Caenorhabditis elegans: one gene and its partner. The protein of the gene in region 1 interacts with the protein of each later gene in a pairwise test. Each region holds a gene or a part of one and is shown on either strand. Other genes may lie near its edges.

Region 1 (3,931 bases):
GAAATAGCCGCTTCGCGCCCACCCACTCCGTAACGTGAGTCATTCATTGTGGCAGCCCCGCCTCCCCGTGACTCAAATTTTGTATTTATTGCAATCTCATCAGCAACTTTTTTTGTTATGCCTTCATGTTTGGACCATTAATAGAAAATTGTTTGAAACTGACCTTTTGTGTGGCGAACAATCACATTTAATCGTATATCTCGTAAATCTCTACGCAAACGTGTTTGTTCTCCAATACCACTTGCCAAGAGGCAGTCTTACTTTGCGAAATATGGATGATAAAAGACATCATGATTTTTTCTGATAAGGATGAAAGCGCAATTATCGATTCCTCTCCGCTCCTACGCTCTCTGTGTTCAGCGCAATTGCTCTGACCAGTTTTTTTTTGTTCTATTCTCTATATCTAGAAACATTAAGCATTAATTCAACATATCATGAACCATCAAGATTTGACATAATTTTGATAATTTTCCATCAACTCAGTCGCCGACAAACAAGTTAGAGGCTCCCAACTCTGCACCTTGTGAGATGAGTCATGCAACAACTGGTCCATATCTGATTTAGTGTAACGACCACAATGCCACGATGACTAGGCTTGATTCTGCATTTGTTATTTATGGAATTCAAGACATTTTGAGATTTTTGCATTTGGTGTTCTAGCATTTATCTGACTAATTAAAATCAGAAAATGTTTTCACCTCGTTGTTTTTCAGAATTTGACTTTCCACATTTTCCAGCACCGCTTTTAAATATAAAAAAAAATAGTTTTTATTTATTTGATTGGGTCTCCTCATTTATTAGAAAAAATGTCGAAATTCTTGTTTGCGTCTTCTCAAATACATACAATAGTATTCTCAATGTTATCTCCTAATTTCGAAATCGATGGTTTCTCAATTACGAAATATTAGGAATTTTCCCACTTTCCGCGACACTATTATTTGCCTTTTTTAACCGCAATTCGATTACATTATTAGTGGTAAACAATCTTTTCTCTGAATTTCCAACGTTTTTTTTGTTTTACAAAAGAAACTATATAATAGTTGCTGTCCTCACATGATGATCAATGTTTTTTATCATTATCAATCAGAAAAGTCCCAGCTTTTCTTGACTTTTCCTTCAGAAATTATCATATCACAATTTGTTTGTTTTCTTTTTCTCTCTAACACTCTTACTCTATTCACTCAACAGTTCAATGCCGGAAATTCAAAATAACCAAATCGTTTTGACATAAACTTCAGTTCAAAGTTGACCTATCGCAAAAACAGGTCGAAAACAAAAAAAAATGGGGAACGGACCGCCAATGTTTTGAAACGGAAGGGGGGTGCGCACGCGGTCGCGTCGCGTGCCCGGTGTTTCAACGTAACTCTTGCACTTATTTACGCAGTGTGTCTCACTTGTGTGTGTGTGTGCCGTTCGTTTTTTCTCTCCCTTCCCTCCTCCCTCGCCGCATTGGAATTGCGACGGCGTCAATGCGGTCTTGCCGCTTTTCGAGACATTTTTGCTGCTGTGATGCCATGTTTTCACCATGATGTAATGCAATTTAATCCTCATGGCAAGAATGAAAAGTAGTTCAAAACGTTGCCTTTCTCGTTTTGGCAGCAGCTCTTTCTCATTTGATCCCCTCGTCGTATAAGCTAATACGCTTTTTGTTTTCAGCTGCTATATTCAGCCAACACAAAAGGCAAGAGCCTTTCCATTGACGTAAACGAGGCTTGTTTGCAACAACATCATGCATTCTAATTTCGTACATGAACTTTTCGAAAGTGCATTGAGATGAGAGTAATGATGAGAGCAAAGACATTTTCTTATAACTTCCCCTATTATTTATATGTATAGCCACTCTCATTCTTAGAAATGCTAGTGCACTTCTTTTCGTGCCCCAACAATTTATATTTTCATCCTAGAAATATAAATTCAAAATTTTGATTCTTCCTGATATTTCTTTATCTCTTTTTTTCTCTGTACTAAAAATAATAATTTTAAGGTGAAAAGATGGAGAGAGACTTCGACCTTGGCATGGGCAGACCTGGCGGGCTCGGAGGACTTGGTGGTGAACCGATCATGCAACAAATGCCACAGCCAGCGCCTCATCATCCATCCCGTAGTAGTAACGACCACAATGTGAAGAACCTCATGAAGCAGGCCGAGGAGAACTCCGGATATCTCACATTGCAAGGTAATTTGGCTAAATAAATAATCTTGAAACGGTAACAATTGATTTTTAGGTAACCGTCGTAAAGCTGACTTGAAGGAGCTTCAGTTCGTGGAAGATATTGGTCATGGAAGCTGCGGTACGGTCACAAAGTGCAGATACAAGAGTGTGATCATGGCTGTGAAGACGATGCCTCGGACGTCAAACAGTTATGAAATGTCCCGCATTTTGATGGATCTTGACGTCATCTGTCTCTCTTTCGACTGTCCGTACATTGTACGTTGCTTCGGATACTTCATCACCAACGTAAGAATTTTTATGAATTCTTTGACTTTTCCAATTATCATTTTTTTCAGTTCGACGTCCGTGTCTGCATGGAGTGCATGGCTACTTGCCTTGACCGTCTGCTTATCCGCATCAAGCAGCCAATTCCAGAGAGAATTATTGGAAAGTTGAGTGTGAGCATCATTAAAGCTCTGCACTACTTGAAAACCAAGCACGTAAGTTTATAAATCAGATGAACCATTTGGACAATATATAATCCGATTTTTTTAGCAAATCATGCACCGTGATGTGAAGCCATCAAACATTCTCCTCGACTGGAGTGGCGTCATCAAGCTTTGCGATTTCGGTATTGCTGGCAGACTGATCGAGTCTCGTGCTCATTCGAAGCAAGCCGGATGCCCTCTGTACATGGGTCCTGAGCGCCTCGACCCCAACAACTTTGACTCGTATGACATTCGCAGTGACGTGTGGTCTTTTGGTGTTACTTTGGTCGAGCTGGCAACCGGACAGTACCCATACGCCGGAACCGAATTCGACATGATGTCCAAGATTCTCAATGACGAGCCACCGCGCCTGGATCCGGTATGTGCTCTTCGTAAAAAATTCATCTAGAAAAAGCTTTTAAGAGCTACCAGTAGACATAATATATGCTTTATGGCGGCTAGAAACAGTACACAACTAGTATTTATGTATTTTACAATTTTACAGGCCAAATTCTCTCCGGACTTCTGTCAACTCGTCGAGAGCTGCCTGCAGCGTGATCCAACGATGCGTCCCAATTACGATATGCTCCTCCAGCATCCGTTTGTCGTGCATCACGAGAAAATTGAAACCGACGTCGAGGAGTGGTTTGCCGATGTGATGGGCGAGTGCGGATAATTGTCGAATTACAAACGTATTGTTATTTCCCAAATCATTTGTAAAAACTATCAATCCCATTCACTATCTCTTTCATAACATTTCCTGGTCTAGCATTCATGGTGCAAAGTTTTTCAATTTTGCTTTTTTACCTTATTTACCCTATTTACCACTTTTACCCTATTTTCACTTGTTCTCGTTCCCGTTGTCTCTATCAAAAATTCCCAACCTCTCTCACCGAATCCCTGTCTACCAAACTTGAATGTTCCGGATGTATAGTATCATTGTAGGCCTAATTGATTGTATATTTTGATTATGATATGTCTCAAAGTTAAGCCATCCACAGCTAGTCTTCTCGTCAGAGATTACTGTGGACATTAAAATTGTGATTCAAATTGTTCAACGGATATTGTTGTAATCTTATATATTTAAATACAGTCTATGGACCGTTCGTTTTTTTACAAGTTTTGAACGAAGCGTTACAGAAAGAAGTAATCAAATTCCAGATCTGTAGAAACTAGCGAGTTAACAGGTAATCGGAACTATGGTGTCTTGAACAATATTTGAAAGTATTCGAAATAGTGTACATATTTTGTGAAACTAAATACTATCAAACGATATCCTACTCAACTCTGA
Region 2 (3,931 bases), 6.6 Mb from region 1:
CTGGTATTGGTTGTATTCCACACTTGAAAAACAAATTTAAAAACATAAGTTTAAAAAAAAATTGTGTGGGGTGCCTAATTGATCTTATAAGATCAATTGCGTAAGAAAATTTTACCTGGAAATAGTTGAATTCTGATCGTGAGACTGCTGGTGGTGCTGATGGTGCTGCGGTTGATTGTAGTTTGGTCTAAATTACATCTTATATTATGAAAATACTTGATCATTCAATATTTATACCTATATGGATGCTCTTGTACATTGTTTTTTTTCGTATAACAGTTTAAACACTCACCTGCTTACATGCGAATTAATCCCTTCATGATAGACATTTTGACTTGATGCTCTTTGAATGTCTCGTCTGCAAAAAAATGTTAAATTATTGTAAAAACTGATTTTAACTTACGGATCACAATAGGGTAAATGATCGGAGGACGTATTTTTCAACCTAAAAAATATATTTTTAACAATTTAACAACTAAAAAAGATGTTTTATACCATTCCTGCTGTCCATATGATTTGTTATTGTAAACGTCTTGATTTCTATCAGTGTAGTTGATGCCATTCGATGAGTTTTCATATTTATCTTGATGTGAATTGATTGAGCTTTGCCGATAGTCATTGTTCTAAAGTAAAGTCCAAATTTTAAAAAAAATTGTGCATAAATACTCACATAAGACTTCTGCATTTCAGGTTCCAATTGTTGACGCTCAGCTTCTTCCTTTATTTTTTCTCGATGGTTTAGATTATGTCTCTGAAATTATGAAATTAGAAAAAAAGACTTTATCTTCTCTTTTTTCTTTTTTTCTTTTTTTTCAAGAGTCAATTTATACAGTTTTCATCACATTAATTCGTAAATTTTTGCTAAGTGAGAAGATTATTTTATAAGCTCATTTCTGGGCTAGAAAATATAATTTGTCATATACATATATACTCACCAGCCTATCTGCATCAATAGTTTTTTGATCAAGAGATGCCAAAAATTCAGCAGACAAACGCTCTTCTTCAGACAATCGCTTTCGTTTTTCCTCTTCGGTTTCTCCTTTTTGAACATTTTCAACTGAATCAGTTTCATAATTATTCTTCATTTCATCTGGCTTTTCATCTATGTTAAATCCTTCATTGGTTTCTGCGCTTGTTGGCTTTTCTTGTCCTTGTTCTAACGGTTTACCACTTCCACCAAAGTATTTCAATTGAATCAAATAAGATTCATCTTCATCCTCTTCTTCGCTACATTTTCCGTTGCTTTCTGAATCGTGAAATTCATCAATTGATATTTCATCTTCACAATTGCTGGATGGCAGTTTTCCCGATGCATTTTTAAGATCATGCATTGACTCTTCCTTTTTGAAGCTTCTTATTAGATTCAAGTATGCGGTTTCTTCGTCGTCACTTTCAGGATCTTCTTCATGGTTTTTGGCGTTCTGAAAATAAAAAAGTTAAGCAAGTTGCGCATATTGCTGAAATATTAAGGAAAAAGGCGTTCTGGCTAGAATTATGTTATATATATATATATATATATATATATATATATATATATATATATATATATATATATATACCTGATCACTGTTCCGAGTTGATTTTTGATTCTCTCCAAAAAATTGTTCGATGGAAATGTTCTTCTCTACCGACATTTGCTTTTCTATTTTTTCCTCAATTTCACTATTTCCAATGCGGTTTCTTTCGATATAGTTTTTTCGATTTATTCCATTACATGCTGTTGCATTTTCGCCAGTGTTTTTGAGGTTTTCCGTGTTAGATTCATCCTTATCCTCTTCGTGCCGGCATTCTTCGTCGACTCCTGCCTGCAAAACCATGGTGGTATTTTTCTGAATTTTGATGCTCCGCATTAAATTTTGCATTTTCATAAACCCTATATTTTATATTGAAGCGGTGTACCGCACTAATTTTCAAAAAAACAGCGGTGGATCTCTTTTTTTCGAAAGGTTTCATTAGTCTTAAACTATAATAATTTACAAGTTCTGAACAACTTTCAACGAAAAATTATTTGAAGTTGTGAAAATTTATATCATCCAAAAAATTGTAGAAGTTAAATTAGGAAGCATTAACCAACACTTTTTCGTAATGTTTGTTCTTGAAGAATTTGTAACCAACTCACTTTATCCCTGCCCATTTCCCCGTGTCCGTGTTCTTCAGTTAATCGATTAGTGTCGTCAGCTGCGAACACAAGAAATTGGTCTTCGTGGTCGGACATACCCTGCAAAAAAATGCGTATAATTTTTTGTGAAAAATTTAAAATTAAAAAAATTGTAAAGTTGCGTTCACTTATTGAATTTTTAACTGGAAGCTATGGAGGAACAAGGGAGGTAGAAAAACGAACAGATACAAAATGGCATGATGGGTGGTAAAGTGAGACTGGACGTAATAGACGGAGAGAAAGAGCGCGTTATGTGCGATTTTATGGCAAAGGAAAGAGAGGAAAGATGACTCGTTCAAAAGCAGAAACTCGTAAGACCCTCCCGTCGTGAGAGCAGTAACCCAATCCAAGCATTTTTTGGGACCTGATTAGCCGCGGCCTTTTTTCGCTCTAAGCCCATAATGAGAAATTCCGTTTTCCTGAAAACATTTTTAGCGGGAAACTCTGAATATGTAAAAGCTTATGGAAAATTGGGAACTGTTTAAAAATATTCAAGAAACTTCGAGGCAATTTGATTAGTTACAGAAAAACAAAAAAATCTACATAATACATAAAAGTTTGCATAAATTTGGTTGAATAAAATTTTTTACGTTTGTCGAAAAATCTGCAAAAATTGTTTGTCAACATTTTTTTAGAAGACAAAAATAGTGCAAACAAGACTAACTATTTTTAAAGATTTGAGTTATGCGATCCAGAAATCTCGATAAACTCAATAAATGACTGACAAACTGTGAAGAAAATATTGATTCTAGCACCATTTGAGGGTAACATATTAATTTGAAATTTTTTGTATGTTTTGAAAATTCATAGACATAAATAGGTGGCCTTTTTGGTAGCCCCGCTCTACATGCACATTTATTTTGTCACAACTTAAACGTAATCAGTGGTTCATAAATCTTGTCAACTTTGTTCCAGACGAACTGCATAAACAAAATTGTTCTGATTGTTTTTTTTTAAATAACTTTATTCAAACTCTTTCATTTCCTCACCCATCAATATTGGATGGCATTTCGTTTATTTGATTCACTGCGAGAAGTAATTGAATATGAGTCTTCTGATAAACAATATCAGCTTCTGTTTATTTTGCATTGCGTTAATTTCGAGTCCTCACCGTTTCTCACTGATCATCAAAATTATTAGCTGAATAAGAATGTGTGAGTTCGAAATTATTGTAACCAGTAACAATCTGAATGCCTCTTTTGATAACATTTAGCTGATTACAGTTTATAGCCAACATAATTGTATTCAGGGATTTTTTGTGTCTTTCTAATTCCAATCATCACACATGCAATTGATAGTTCAAATGATGACATGGACTATGAAATCAAGAAAGGCAATTGTACCTGTGAAGAAGAAGTTTATGAGGCAACTATCGAACATGGAATCATCAAATCACCTCACTACCCGAATTCACAAAGTTGCGATGGAAGATGTGTCTACATTGTTAGTAAATTAGAGAATGTGATTGGAGTTAATAAATGTTAACTAGCTATAGATACTTCCACATCCCAACAAAACCGTTTCTCTTTACACATCGTCGTTTGAAATCTCCAGTCGGGCAAGTCTCATCGTTTACAGTCTGCTCGAGGAAAATGGTGAAAGAATTCGTATTCCGCATGCAAAGTAAGTTGTATCTTGTTTTAAATTAGAATAATAATTCAATAAAAATTAATTAAGCTCATTATTTTTTAAACTGCCTGTGAAAGGAGACCTATGTTCAGTTTCCTGCAATATATAATTGAAAAATACATGCTTGTGGGATCATCGTGAGAT

Evidence for each region.
Region 2: the proteins of mek-1 (region 1) and C33G3.6 interact in a two-hybrid assay, tested with the Caenorhabditis elegans proteins (one large-scale study listed by BioGRID).

What each region holds. Positions count from the first base shown.
Region 1 is NC_003284.9:7,477,264-7,481,194, forward strand, and holds mek-1 (Dual specificity mitogen-activated protein kinase kinase mek-1), read left to right. Parts: upstream 1-1,984; 5' UTR 1,985-1,992; coding exon 1,993-2,176; intron 2,177-2,225; coding exon 2,226-2,458; intron 2,459-2,508; coding exon 2,509-2,652; intron 2,653-2,707; coding exon 2,708-3,019; exon of another isoform or gene 3,020-3,145; coding exon 3,146-3,316; 3' UTR 3,317-3,742; downstream 3,743-3,931. UniProt on the Caenorhabditis elegans protein: Dual specificity protein kinase which may phosphorylate kgb-1 and thereby is an essential component of the JNK pathway composed of mlk-1, mek-1 and kgb-1. May also have a synergistic role with sek-1 in phosphorylating pmk-1.
Region 2 is NC_003284.9:14,082,101-14,086,031, forward strand, and holds the start of C33G3.6 (Non-specific serine/threonine protein kinase), read right to left. Parts: upstream 2,219-3,931; 5' UTR 2,216-2,218; coding exon 2,120-2,215; intron 1,806-2,119; coding exon 1,560-1,805; exon of another isoform or gene 1,494-1,559; intron 1,422-1,493; coding exon 936-1,421; intron 752-935; coding exon 671-751; intron 624-670; coding exon 496-623; intron 446-495; coding exon 404-445; intron 359-403; coding exon 293-358; intron 188-292; coding exon 116-187; intron 23-115; coding exon 1-22. Other genes in the region: F16B12.1 (CUB domain-containing protein), read left to right, coding at 3,470-3,601, 3,654-3,781.